Mytilus edulis: one gene and its partner. The protein of the gene in region 1 purifies or fractionates together with the protein of each later gene. This does not show direct contact. Links are inferred from orthologs where the notes say so. Each region holds a gene or a part of one and is shown on either strand. Other genes may lie near its edges.

Region 1 (7,215 bases):
CTAGTAGTCAGGACTAAGATTTAAGAATATAAAAAGAAAGAGAGTTGCACCTGGCTATTTTGGGCTACATGTAGGTACAAATGTAGCATACTGCAATATTTACCATTCAAAGAATAGTGTTGGTGGATGTTAGTTTTAACATACATATTTCATATGTTTACAATTCTTTACTGGAATTTGATGTGGTTCTTCAGAATTTTATCAGAGACATATACATGATATATGAAAATTGATTTTCATTGAACTTTTTATTAATTTACAGTGGAAATTTCGACTTTTACATGAAATTTTACTTTTGAAATTTCAATATTTCAAAACTTTAAAAAAATGCTTAATACTGACTTTAAAATCTAGAAATTTCAGCTTTTGTTTATTTTTGTAGTTCTGTGGTATTCTGTGGTACATGTAAAAAGACACTGCAATATGGCTGATGCAATTAAGAAAAAGGGAAATAACCCTATCTAAATAAAAGTTTTGAAAGTCCTCCGTTATGTATTGTAATATGGACAAGGAACTTATGTTCATGTACATGTACATGTCATTAAAATCATATTTCTGAAGTTGAATTAAAGTAAAATTGACATGTATCCCATTGTTATTGTCTTTCTTTGTTTTAAATAGAAAATGACTATATTTGACCACATAAAATGTTATTTTGGGTTTTGAGCATGTTTTCAGGTTCTCTAAATACTTTTTTAAATAGCAGAATAATTATTATAAAATATAATTTAACTCGTTAAATGTCCTTTTCATGTTATCATTTCATGTCTCATCAGATGCCCTTTTTCTGGTTGGCAAATCCAAGCTGGAACTGTATCAGGCCAGTTTGTTCCCAATTCACATTCACACCATACATGTCATCACCTCACAGGGTCCCCCAATAGGTCCATTCGCACCAAAAAGTGTATTTAAAATTTTTTCAACAAATTTATTTTTTAAAAAGACTTCATGCATGACATGAAAAAGAAACATGAAAAAGGCACTTTATTAAGAAACAATGAAAAAAATATGTATAGCAATAATACACTAACCAAAACATGATCAAGATTTATTCATCCTAAAAAACCGTTGTCAAAATGTCACTTTATTTTGAACATTGAATGGAAAAAAATATATATACATATAGAAACTCTCAAACCAAAACACGATTTAAGATTTATTCCACACAAAAAATGTTTTCAGAAAATCAATGTGTTGTGTAACATTATATTTTTTATAACAATACAATATAAACCAAAACTCAATTACAAATTATTAAACACAAAACCGATTAAAAGGGTGCAAATGTGTAGAGTGCAAAAGTGAAAGAAGTGGAACTTGTTTTAGGGCGAACGAACCTGGATTCAGCTGCACACAGGCTAATCCCATGCAAATGTAGCTTGCTTAAAAGTAGCCAAAAATGTTAAGGAAAAATATGGGATTTTTCTCAATAATTTTTTTTGTTGACATTTCTGAACTTTACCTTTTTTTTCTTTTAAAACCTATGCCTACTGAAATGAATATCAGGAGCTCCACATATTATCCACAGTTTGTACTATCTGTGACTGCTTCATTTGTTCTAGTTCGGGGATATTCACAGATTGTACTATCTGTGACTGCTTCATTTGTTCTAGTTCGGGGATATTCACAGATTGTACTATCTGTGACTGCTTCATTTGTTCTAGTTCGGGGATATGCCCAGTTAGCCTTATCATGTGACTGGGTCAAATGGCTGAGAAGTAAACGGAGTTGAACAGGCTGATTTAAAGATGGCGACAGAAGTTCAAATTTATACTTTTTGGTTTCCAAGTTGGAGAATATAAAAAATGAATATGTTGATAATAAATATGTATTTTTTATATGCAATCTTTTTTCGAGGCCTTATTCATCATAAAAACATTTCTCTGAGATGATTTTGAAAAATTTGAAAATAAAATGTACATTTGTAGCTTTACAATTTATTATCGTCACATTTAACCATTGCAGTATATCATATAATGAAATTGTTTCAATCTTCACCTTTCAAATTCCGACAATTTATCCTAAATTACGCTTCCCATCATACATGTACTTTTATGACAGGCTGATTGCTTGCTGGTGTGTTAGGTTAAACATATTTATAGTGGATTGGAAAACAAGTTTTACAACTTATATTAATCCCTTTCCACTTAGCGGGTGCAAGGGCTGCCTTGTAGCGGCATTAGCCTGCTCTTTTTCGAAATCTACAACGATGTCTTTAACGTGCAAGAGATACATGTATGGCTCTCTCTTAACATGGGTCAGCCATTTATCGTCCCCTTCCTACAGACTATCATCGTTTCCTCAAGACCATACTCTCAAATGATGTCAAGAGAGAGCTGAAAATTCAGTCCCTGAAATTTTCATCCCGAAACTGAAATCGAACCAGGAACCTTTGTGTTAGTAGTCCGATGCACTAACCACTACACCACATCTTTCTTACTGGTGTGTTAAAACTGCTGAGAGAAGTGTATGAATATGTGCGCCAGCTGATTTTACAGCAAATGAAGCGACTGTGTCTATAAAGGAAGCACCAAACGGGCTAATCTGGGTTAAGCAGCTGTGGCAAATGAAGTACATGCACTATCTCTGAGTTCAAAATATTCACTTAGTAATAAAGAGTTGTTCCCCTTTTTGCAATTCAACATGGTCAATCTGTTTGCTGTTGAAGCAAAGTTGTCATTAGTTTACAGTAAAACAACGGAAACCAATTAAACTTTACCCATGTTATACGGCAAATAAAAATGTTAAAGCTAGTATGATGATGTACTATAAATAAACAGGTGATCATAAATTGACATAATGTTACATAGAAACGGTTAGATTTAGAATTAAAGCAAAAGGGAGTATCTCCTGTAATTCAATGTTTGCTTATTCTTACCACACAACCTCTACCGAGGATGTTGAAAAGTGCTTCGTTTTCATTGTCATTTAACAGAATAGATGACACATTCGTGTTTTTTTTCTTCATAGACATTTTGTAAATTTTCTTTGAAACTTCCGGGTTGTGAGTAACTGAAATAGATAGCCTCTATACAAAAACAAATTTATCAAATCTATGGATATATTTGAATCATAGTGAAATTAAGAATATAAAATATATTTGTGTTTATGTAATAATGAAAAAATGTAACAACTTTCTTTAGTTTATAACTAATTTTTAAGAATTTAAGCGCGGGAGTTCCATTCGGAACCATTGTCATTTCCGAATGACACAGACACACGACAACAAATAGTCTCGATTACCCAGACGCTTGAATTTGTAATCAAACGTCTGGGTTTTCGCAATGGTAAAAATTCTTATGACAGATTTCTGTCAGAGACTCGGAACATTTTGGATTATTCGTCGACCCTATGAAAAGTAACGATAGTATCCAAAATGATAGTTTGACCCACAACATCCAAAATGGCAGCCTCCATGAGTGCTTGTTTTTTTATCGACTTCAACCACAGAACATCAACATGCAGCTAGCATATACGTGTTAAAGGGTCATGGTGTAATTAATATGTTGTCAAAAGGCAGTAGGTGAATTGTAGGTTATAGTTGATAGGTTTAAAAGCAAAAACAGTAAAGTCGCGCAACATAAATTTATTGAACAGTTGAACATCTGAGATCATCTGAGCACAGGGTTTGAAACAAACCCCTGTGATCTGAGTTTCAAAATAATTTTAATTTAATAATTGTATTAAAAAGACATTGCCTCCAACAGGTTAGGAACAACCCCTCAATTGCATGACTATCCCTTAGGGAGCTACCATTTGATTTTTATGGGAAGGGGGGGGGGGGCTAGGATGAAAAATTTTGTCCTGAATTTTTTTTAGCTGTAATATCTGTCCTGCCTTTTTATTTTTCACTCTGTTCGGTCCTGTCTTTTTTTTTTTAGTTTATCCTGACTTTTTTTTACCTAAATTGCCGTCCTGACTTTTTTTTTTTTGCAAATGTCTCATCCTGCCTATTTTTTTTACTCAAAACTCCTGTCCTGCCTATTTTTTTCAAATTTCATCCTAGCCCCCCCATAAAAATCAAATGGTAGCTCCCTTATATGAGTAATACATTTGAAGTGATTAATTTTGTTTTTGTTTTTTTATAAAAGCCACTTTTTAGTACAAAATTTATGTCAAATGAGCATATATTTATATTATTTGAAGAAATGTTTCACATTGGCATTGAAAGAACTATTTACATCTATCTGGTATCGTAAGTTCAAAACATGTCCAAGAGTCCAAATAATTTTGACACTTTGAAAGACTATTTTATATTTTTGCTTACATGTAGATGCAAAAATTATAGGACTAGGCATGTTTTTTTCTGTGATGCCTTCCCTCTCTAAACATTCTTTTTTAAATTTGTATGGAGCTTGTGTACCTTATTTGGTCTTCTGTCAGTCCTCTTTGATTTAAAGTCTTTAATATTGTATTTCTTTGTTACCCTGGTAATGGTTTATAATATGAATAAAACACTGCAAGTATGCAACAGCTGTACAAGGTCTTATTTTATTGAGTAAGACCTCAGACTATTATTATAGACAATTTTTTACTCAGGTGATTCAATATTTAATGTATAATAAATTTGTTTTATTTTGTAGAGCAAAGCAGTATTGCATTGATCGATTGCTGTCAATATTCTTCTATGGATTTTTGCAGGATTAAGTAACTCATGATTTTATGTACTGTGCATATGTGTGAATTGTAGTCGTATGCCTTTATATAATATACTGAGTTGCACATCAATCAACAGAATTTCACCAGATATTTTTGGCTGTGAATGGTTTTAACTAAAAGAACAGGAAAATCTGATTATTTTTATTTACATGCCCTTCAATTTAACATAAATCTACATACATATATAGCCACATCGAGATAGTGTTTGTTGACCTACTTTCTACTGTATTGTTATTCATTGCAATTTTATTTTCTTAATATACCCTAACAACAAGGATTAGAGGCTTGATAGACTTACTAATTCAGTTTACTAGGTTATTTCTTTTTCCTAGTATTTATAGTCATAAAGAAGGACACAACGCAACAACAAAAACTAAAGAAAGCAACACAAACCCTACCAAAAACCATATATTTTCAGTATCATAGTTCCTGATAGCCTTTTATGAAATATTACAATTTCTGCAGTTGGCAATTAGATAGATAGCTGGGTATTTACAAATAAAGCCATAAAAGGCATGCTTTCAAATTAATAGTATTATTTAACCCTTGTACAGTGTTATGCCTTAAGCTTTAGTTCAGTGGTTGTTGTTGGTTCATGCATGTAATTTTTAATTTTCGATATTTTTTGTTTTGTAATAAATTAGGCCGTCAGTTTCTCATTTGAATTGTTCATATAATTTATGTCTGGGCCTTTAACAGCAGACTATATATGGGTTTTACTCATTGTTGAAGACTGTACAGTTGCCTATAATTGATAACATCCACTTGATTTGAACTTTGATTGAGTTGTCTCATTGGCAATCATACTCAAATGTACCTTTGTTGTTGGGATATACAAGTACCCGGCCACGTCCACTCTATGTAGTATTTCTAATTGTATCCATCTGATGACTAGCCTTTTTCAACTGATTTTTTTATAGTTCGTTCTTATGTTGTACTGTTACACCACTGTCCTAGGTATGGGGGGCGGGTTGGGATACCGCTAACATGTTTAACCCAACCACATTCTGTATGTATGTATATATGTGCCTGTCCCAAGGCAACAGCCTCTAATTCAGTGGTTGTCGTTTGTTTTTCCTTCATCTTTATACAACTGTATATTTGTATTACGTTGTATGGGTTTTGCTCATTGTTGAAGGCTGTACAGTAACCTATAGTTTTTCATTGGAAATTATATCACATCTTTTTTATACTCATCTTTTTATTTTTATGCATGTTAAATAGCCTTGTAGGACTTTCAATCTTAGTTCATTTATGTTTTGAAGTTTTGTATGACATCTATTTTCACTGAACTAGTACACATTTTGTTTTAGAGTTCAGCTAAAGCCTGCCTGAGGGAGCTGGATTTTCTTTTCTGTGATAAGAAGCATTGGTGTCCTTTGGCTGTTTTCTTCTACTTAATTGTCTCTTTGACACATTCCCCATATCTATTATCAATTTAATATATTCAACATTAAAGTAGATTTTTTTATTCCTACTTGTCGTTTGACTGTCCAAAGTAGGCATTTGCAAAACTCCTAGATGGTCTTTGTGTCCATGACATAAACATGATAAACTGTAATGCCACTTATTTTCTCCATCATAACAATTGATTTTCAGTAATTTAGAAATATCAGTTAGATTAACAATGTTTTTTGCCATGTTAGAGCATTTTAAAGCTTACTATAGGCTATGGATTTTGCTCATTGTTGAAGGTTGAAAGGTGACCTACAAATTGAATGCACAATATTTGAACTCTGGTGGATATAAATCTCAGTGGCAATCATACCATATCTCATTGTAATTATAAGCATTCAATGTAATGATTACTTTTCAGAATCATATTAAGGTACACTCGATAGTGTTCTTTCTTCATTCTCTTTGGTTTTAATATTAAAATGCAATTTTTAGGATAAGTGTTTCTAGTTTCAAATTGTATTTTTTTAAGCGGGTTTTATGTCAGAAATAAACAATGTAAAACGAAATACAACAAATAGCTACAGCTAATTTATTTTCATGGTATTGTCAGAGGCGGATTTAGAGGGGGCCAGGGGCCCCTGGCTTCCCCTTTTTTGGAAAGAAATTTGGTTGATTATATAGGAAATCACTGAAGCATGACTGGAGTGGGCCGGACCCCCTCTTAGGCAGTCAGTGGGCCCCAACTTATGAAAATTTCTGGATCTGCCACTGATTGTGTGATAAAGTGGTTATTAATGTACTGGAAACAAATAAGAAATATCTATTTAAAATCACTCAAACACCATACCAATTGTCTATTTAAACTTTAAAAAAATACTTGTACTTCATTCAGCAATGATCTTTGTCATTTGTTTTTTCAACATTCTACTCCATTAATAACAAAAAAGTCTGTTTAGAAAATCATACAACCAAAATAACAAATGCAATTTATTAAGAAATGAGAGGCATTGACGACCAAGATGATAATTCTATGGATGCTGTAATGTATTATCATACATGTATGACACTACAATGTAGTATGGACATCAATTACAACTATTGCACAAGTATTGTAAGCACAGTTGGTCAAATGGTGTCTACTCTTGTTTCTTTATTTCT
Region 2 (6,831 bases), on another chromosome or scaffold:
TAAATAACCAAAGCATACATGTACCTACTTTGACCTATAATCATGATAATTTGTAACTTTTACTACATGTATGCATTGTGTCAATGTGACTTGGATTGACAGTTGTCTCATTGGCACTCATTCCACATCTTCTTACTTACACTGTAGGTTTTTTTTTTAAATGAATGACAGTTAGTAAGTATTTTATATTTTGGTGTATGAATCTGAAAATGATTGAACCAAGACTTGTGTATGTTGACTAAAGTTATGACACATAACTTGGGTTCTCATGTATTATATGTACATTCAGTCATTGTAACTGAACTTTTAATTTTCCATTTTTAATCATTTGTCGTTGTTTTTCCCCACTTTACCTTTATCTGATCATCGACAGTATACAATGTATATGAATATCAAAAATCAAACATCCATTTTAAAATTAAGTAAATTCTATCCAATATCAAAATGTTGTTTTTTACACCTATCCACAGAACTTGGCACACAATCAGCAAAACTTCTAAAAAGTCACATTTGGCAACCTTTTGAGATCGTAATATGCTTATCTGTTATCATGCTCATACCACATTATTTATTTCGCTTTAAAAGGCTTAAAGCATCTTCAAAATTGATTAAAATAAGTTTTTTGTGTTTGTCCAACTAGCTGGTATATATAATTATATATAATTTCACCCTGGTTACATACATTTTGTACTTTTAAAATTAGTTTTTAATTTATAATTTTTGTTCTTGTGCATGTTTCACACTTTTTTTTGTTTAGCCTGATTAAATTTGTACAGCAAAATCAAGCTACAATTGTAACCAGCATATACTTAATTTGGAGGACAGTGAGCAATGGTGAGTGAAGAAATGAAAACAAAATAATTAAAAATTAACTCATTGTTTCTCTCAACTGACACACTTTTTTTTCATATGACATATAAATGTACATGTAGTTGATGGGCAATTAAAGTGTCCCTTATATTTAAAACTTAGACAAATAAGGTTGACTACTTTTGATCTATAAACATGATAAATAAGACAGAAAAATAATTTATTTTCTGAATTTCCTTCCAGGGGACAATCTGATATTCACCATGTCTGAAATTCTCGCTGCCATATTTATTTTTTAAACCCTTGTTCTTTGTTTGCATCTCATGTTTTCTACTTGACTCGTCGTTCTTTTTGTCTTGCTTGCCTTATGTTTTATTAAGTATTTATCAATCTGAATCTACATTCAAAATCTAAAGAAATGACACATCGGGTGAATGATAGATAAAACGAATCCGGGTCAGTTCTCGCCTGATTTTTATTAGTTTTGTACATGTATGTACAAATGTAATAACTTTGTAATCAAGTTTTGGCAAGTGCATTCCTATAAGTACTGTATATAAGTTGTCATTGTCTCAAAATAAAGTGAGACAATGGTTTTTTTCCATGTTGAATAAATCTTAATCATGTTTTGGATAGTGAATTGTTGAAAAAAAAATTATTGTTTCTAAATAAAGTGAGATTCTATCAACTTTTGTGTTGAATGAATCTTAATCATGTTTTGGTTAGTAAAATGCTATAATTTATTGTTTTAAATTATTGTTGGAACTTTCAGATCAATGAGCCAAGCAGTTGAGTTAAAAACACTTATCTTTTGTGGTTTTCATTTAAAATCTTCAATGTTTTACTCATACCAAGCTAAATACATGCAGTATTTATATCACAGCAATTTAAAACAATTAACAATCATAATTTTCTAATTATTAAACTGGAATTTGATTTTAAATTTTGTGTGAACGTGTAGGGAGCCAACAGACCTTGGGTGCGAACGTGTAGGGTGGGAAAGTGTATTAGGCGTAAACGGACCTGATACCGGATATAAAACGTAATTGACTGTCCCTGGTCAATAGACAAAGCCAAAACAATGTTATATGCGACTCTGGTTCTCATACAAATGTACTTATTTTTATTCATTTTCGGAATCAACCTATTTCCGATGTTATTTAATAGCTATCATCATGAACATTGATGTTTTGACTAAAATATATATTTTTACTTGCTGATCATTGGTTTCTTTAACATAAATTAAACATCTTTATACCATTTGTATACGTTTTGACTATTTTTGTTGGATTTGAACTTTGTCTTGTACAAATGTATATTTTTTTACTTGTCGACGGGCAACCCAGACAAACATAATTACTTGTCCAGTTGTTCAAATGTAGGAGTCTGATAGTATTTTCACACCCCTGAACCCTGATGATTGATTTTTAAAATTTTTTTTTTATTGTTTACAAAACAAGATGTTCAGTTACGTTAAGTTTTAAGTGTACACAATTTAAAACAGCAAATAGGATGAACTTTAACAGGCTTTTTTTTTATTTATTATAGAGACACAGTACACTGTAATGCCTGTACAGAGATACATGATAAACAAGGCACTCCCAAGCCCCCTTTTTGGTTTGAAAAAGTCTGTGTTTTCATTCATTTATTTACCAAATAAAATGCACAGTTTACTTTGATAACTGTTCAAGGGAAAAACTTCTTTCAAATGAAACGTTATAAGTTAGAATTACGAGGATTAAAGAGGAGAACATTAACATTTACAGGCACCGGAAGCCATGCCGCCATTATTTTTGACAGACTCCGAGCAAGAATTCATTGGATAAAGAATCTCAGAGTTAAATGGGACAGATAAATCCCAAAAGAGTCCTTTGGATTGATGCCTCAAAAACTATCTAACTTCATACTTAGATCTTTTGTTGATAATCATTCAAATAATACCTACAATACTAATTTCCGGGGTGTTCAGTTAATCCAATTTTAACCGGAAAAACTTACAGCGCATGCGTCTATGACGTGATTTTCTTCTTAAAATAGCTCCAATAAATACACTAGTAACGTAGCACCTGTCAACATTCAAATGATCGGCAATACACAAATTCAGCTGATATATGTCCCAAGTTTAAATCCAAATATAACGACGAATCAAATTTCTGGCCTATTTTTATGGTTCTATTCTTGGATAAAACGAGAAAATAGAATAAGAGTTTTGATATAGACTATTTTTTTCAGTATAGATCGATCTATACAGTCAGTGATTAAACCGTTTTATTATCTTTTTAAGTCAATTGTTGAATGAATAGGTTAACTATATACATGATATATATTAAAGGATATGAAGGTGTTTTACAGAGATAAGAATTCTGTGCAAAAAAGTAAGCCTGGAAGGGAGGCCAAAAAGTATAGATAAAAGAAGGTAGAGGTGATGAAATATATACATAATCAAAATATTGATTGATTGTTGGTTGTCTAAAGTCCAGTGGCAAATATTTGATGCTTGTTTAGGACGAATATAAAAAAGATCAATTGACAGGAAAATAAAGTATAAAGTGAAATAGTTACGATGATGTGACCCCCCTAAAAAAAAACCCAACACAACAACAACAAAAAACAACAAAATAAACCCACCCACACTCGCATATATACATGTATACATCTCAAAAAATATATAAATTTTGGTTTTGGTGCCCCCCCCCCCAGGAATCGAGGTTCTGGATCCGCCCCTGTGTTCTGTGATTAATTATTAACTAATCAATCAGAAAATCATATGGACACAGTTATAGCGTATTTGTTTGTTTGTTAGTTAATTGTATAGACATATTTTTTTAAATATTCAGTGACCGGATAATTTTCCGCCGTATTTTTTGTCTACTCATGTGTATTTAATTATCAACGATGGCCTAAATAAAAATAATAAATCATACATTCTGTATAAATATTCGCTTATCTTTCGCCATATGACAAGGTCATGTATACATGCAGTTGAATGATGTCTTCTTTTTAAAAAAAATCAAATTTATATAATTAAACCCTTATGGGTGTACATGCAGATTGACATGCCCGAAATCTTCTGCATTTATTAGTGGAAATCGGGATTTCAACTAGCCCTCAGTAACTGCGAGTAGTCTTAGATTAGAACTCTGGGACTTTTTTTTGTAGTTGCTATAGTTATTCGATTTTCAATGAGTTAATGCTTTATCTGATTTTCAATGAGTTAATGCTTTATCTGATTTTCGATGAGTCAAAGCCTATTCAACCTATGTTTAGTTGTTTCTAATGTTCTGCTGTTAACCACTGTCAAATGTTTAGTAGGGTCCTAAGTTTCGGATGGGCCTAAGTTTCGGAGGGATTCGGACTCTCATATACATATTAATGTGTCTATGATTGAGATATAATTGGCATCAATAAGACAGCAACCACATAACACGGATAAAACAAAAGAGACTATTGAAGGTTGTCATTACGTTTTCAATAATGAACGGGCACAAACCCTAAAATTATACCATGCAAACTCAGAATCGCTTTGAATCTTTACAAGTTACGTTAGCTAGTCAAAAGGTAGTTTGACCGTTCATCAGGTTCAAATGGTTGCAAGACTTTTGTTTCCGAGCACAGCTGCTAATCAAGGAGCATATATATAGATACTATGAGAATGAATACTAAAAGGAAACCCTTCGGTCATTCATAACCACTAGATCATTCGTGGTATGCATTGTAGTGTGTAGGAAGCTGCCAGGTGAGCGACCAAATCTTTGGGGTCGTTTTAGGTATAATTAGACTGCTCGGATGAAAAAATATGATTTAATCTTGCCCGAAATGCATATTAGTATAGTAATAGTATGCAGATCAAAGGTTACAAGCGTAAACAATTATGCATGCTTCACAGCGCTAGCAGTTCAGTTTCGTAATACAGCTTTTTTTTTTTTTTTATTATTTTTTATTTTTTTTATCAAATTTGGAAATATCAAAACTATCCAATGTTGTTAGGCTACGTACGCTCCTCTAAGGTTAGGGTGGAGAGTATCGTAGTTAAAACTAACAGCGGATCTGATTTTCATTGCATCAAACACTCAATCTATTACAATGGCGGATCCAGGGGGTGGGGTCGGAACCCCCCTTTTTTTTGGACGCTCAATGCATCAATCTCCCATACAGACAGAGTTATCGTCCTTTCCTCCTCCTCCTGTCTGTATGGGAGATTGTCAATGCATTTGAATGTAGTTGCCCCCCTTGTCTTTGGTTACTGGGGAACCCCCTTTTTAAAATGGCTGGACCCGCCCCTGTATTACATAATGTTGTCTGCTTAAAGGGATAATTCGCGAATTTTTACTTATCAGCTAATTATGTCCATAATACAATAAAAAACATATTCACCAAGTTTTATCTGGATATGAACAGCAATAAAGGAGAAAATTAAGAATTATTAATTTTATTTCTTCGAACTTCCTGACTTATGTGACGTAGTTTATGTCTTTAAGCATGCCGGGAGTGGAAATAATCTCATTTTAAATCTTAATCGTTAATCATCTTATAACGCTATTTAAAGCGCATAGACGACGTTTGGTGTGGCTATTAACCAACTAATAATTAAGATGGAACAGCGCTCATTTTGAAAGTAGAATGTACGATTTATATTTTAATATTTTCTGAAATGTTTATAGTGATACAAGTAAATCATATATATAAAATATTTTTTTATGATTTTTTTTTCCGACGGATATTTTGAACTTACATGTATAACTGGTAGTGTTTTAAAAATGCATGTTTGTACTTTTTACCTTTTACGTCAGGCTAGTAAATATGTGCTGCTAGTACATTTGTAGTGTGCAAATACGGCCCCGCAAATACAATGTGTATTGTACTTTGACACATAGTGACTACCTGTTGAATGCGTGGTTAAATTCAAGTTAATTAAAAGATTAGCATTTTGTATCTTTTGATCTTTACTCAGTGAATTTAAGCCGTCACGGTTCACTTTTCTAGGTGTGAACATTTCGTATGAATGATAAACGGGGGAATCTTAATATTTTCCATGAGCTCAGTTTAATTAAATATATTATTGACGCTGAATATTTTTTGTTAAAAACAAGGAATACTGAATTAATTTAATTGAATAAATTTATGAATAATGATGTAAAAATTCTAAATAAGAATCGGTGACCTTGAATTTTTGAAATAGATAGTATAATTACCAATTGCAGTTATATAAGGCGATCTTCTTTTTTTTTTTTTTTTTAATATTCAGGAAGTAATGTCCTTTCACCACGTACTAATTCTTCAGCTATTTGAACGAAAATATCAAAAATGTTGACAGAAAATTTAAAGGTCAACTTTGTCTTACTGAAAGGGAGGGAGAGCTCCAGACGTACTTACTAACAGACAAAGCAGGCTTGTGGCTTATCGTCAGTTTGTGTGCTGGGTCAGGAAAGGTCAACCACTTGGCAAGAAACATAGAATAATCATACCGGCTTGTGTAGTAAACATAATTAGAAAAGAGTTTCCATCGTTGGATGGGGTATACGAATGATTCAAAGAATGTGAAAGTGACACTTCAGATTGAATAGTTCTAAAATCATTTAAACGATTTACCAATACATTTTTTATTGGTTATTGGTTATTTTTTGCTATGACGTTGTCAGTGTGTTTTTTAATACTGAAATTGACTATCCGTTTTGGTACCTTCTGCCTTTTTACAAACAAGACCATGAAACTGAATATTGGAAATGTATCATGCTACTTCAAAAGAAAAAGCACTAATGGATTGTCCTAGAAGCATATTTTATGAGAATAATAATGGTCTATAAGCAGTTACATTTATTTCATGTTTGAAGCGGTGTATTTTTTTAAAATTTAATTTGACTTTTACCAAGAAATGCATTGTAGCAAAGGGGAAGAGTAATTGTGGTCTAGTGTCAGATACTCGAAAATAATGAAATTTAACATAAAAGGAAACAAATAACGGACTTTGGCAAAAATGGAGAGGGCTTTTGATACCTTTTCTCCAGACATAAAATCTTTTAC

Evidence for each region. The genes of interacting proteins can lie anywhere in the genome.
Region 2: the proteins of actin nucleation-promoting factor WASL-like (region 1) and cdc42 homolog purify together in Drosophila melanogaster (affinity purification with western blotting; 3 studies listed by BioGRID). This does not show direct contact. The link is inferred for Mytilus edulis from reciprocal best matches to the Drosophila melanogaster genes WASp and Cdc42.

The regions. Positions count from the first base shown.
Region 1 is NC_092344.1:35,959,023-35,966,237, forward strand, and holds the start of actin nucleation-promoting factor WASL-like, read right to left. Parts: upstream 3,018-7,215; 5' UTR 2,975-3,017; coding exon 2,879-2,974; intron 1-2,878.
Region 2 is NC_092356.1:47,831,602-47,838,432, reverse strand, and holds the start of cdc42 homolog, read right to left. Parts: upstream 3,030-6,831; 5' UTR 2,816-3,029; coding exon 2,809-2,815; exon of another isoform or gene 2,718-2,808; intron 2,606-2,717; exon of another isoform or gene 2,464-2,605; intron 1-2,463. UniProt on the Drosophila melanogaster protein: Regulates mbt kinase activity and is also required to recruit mbt to adherens junctions. Together with mbt and Frl, regulates photoreceptor cell morphogenesis. Together with Frl, has a role in the neuronal development of mushroom bodies.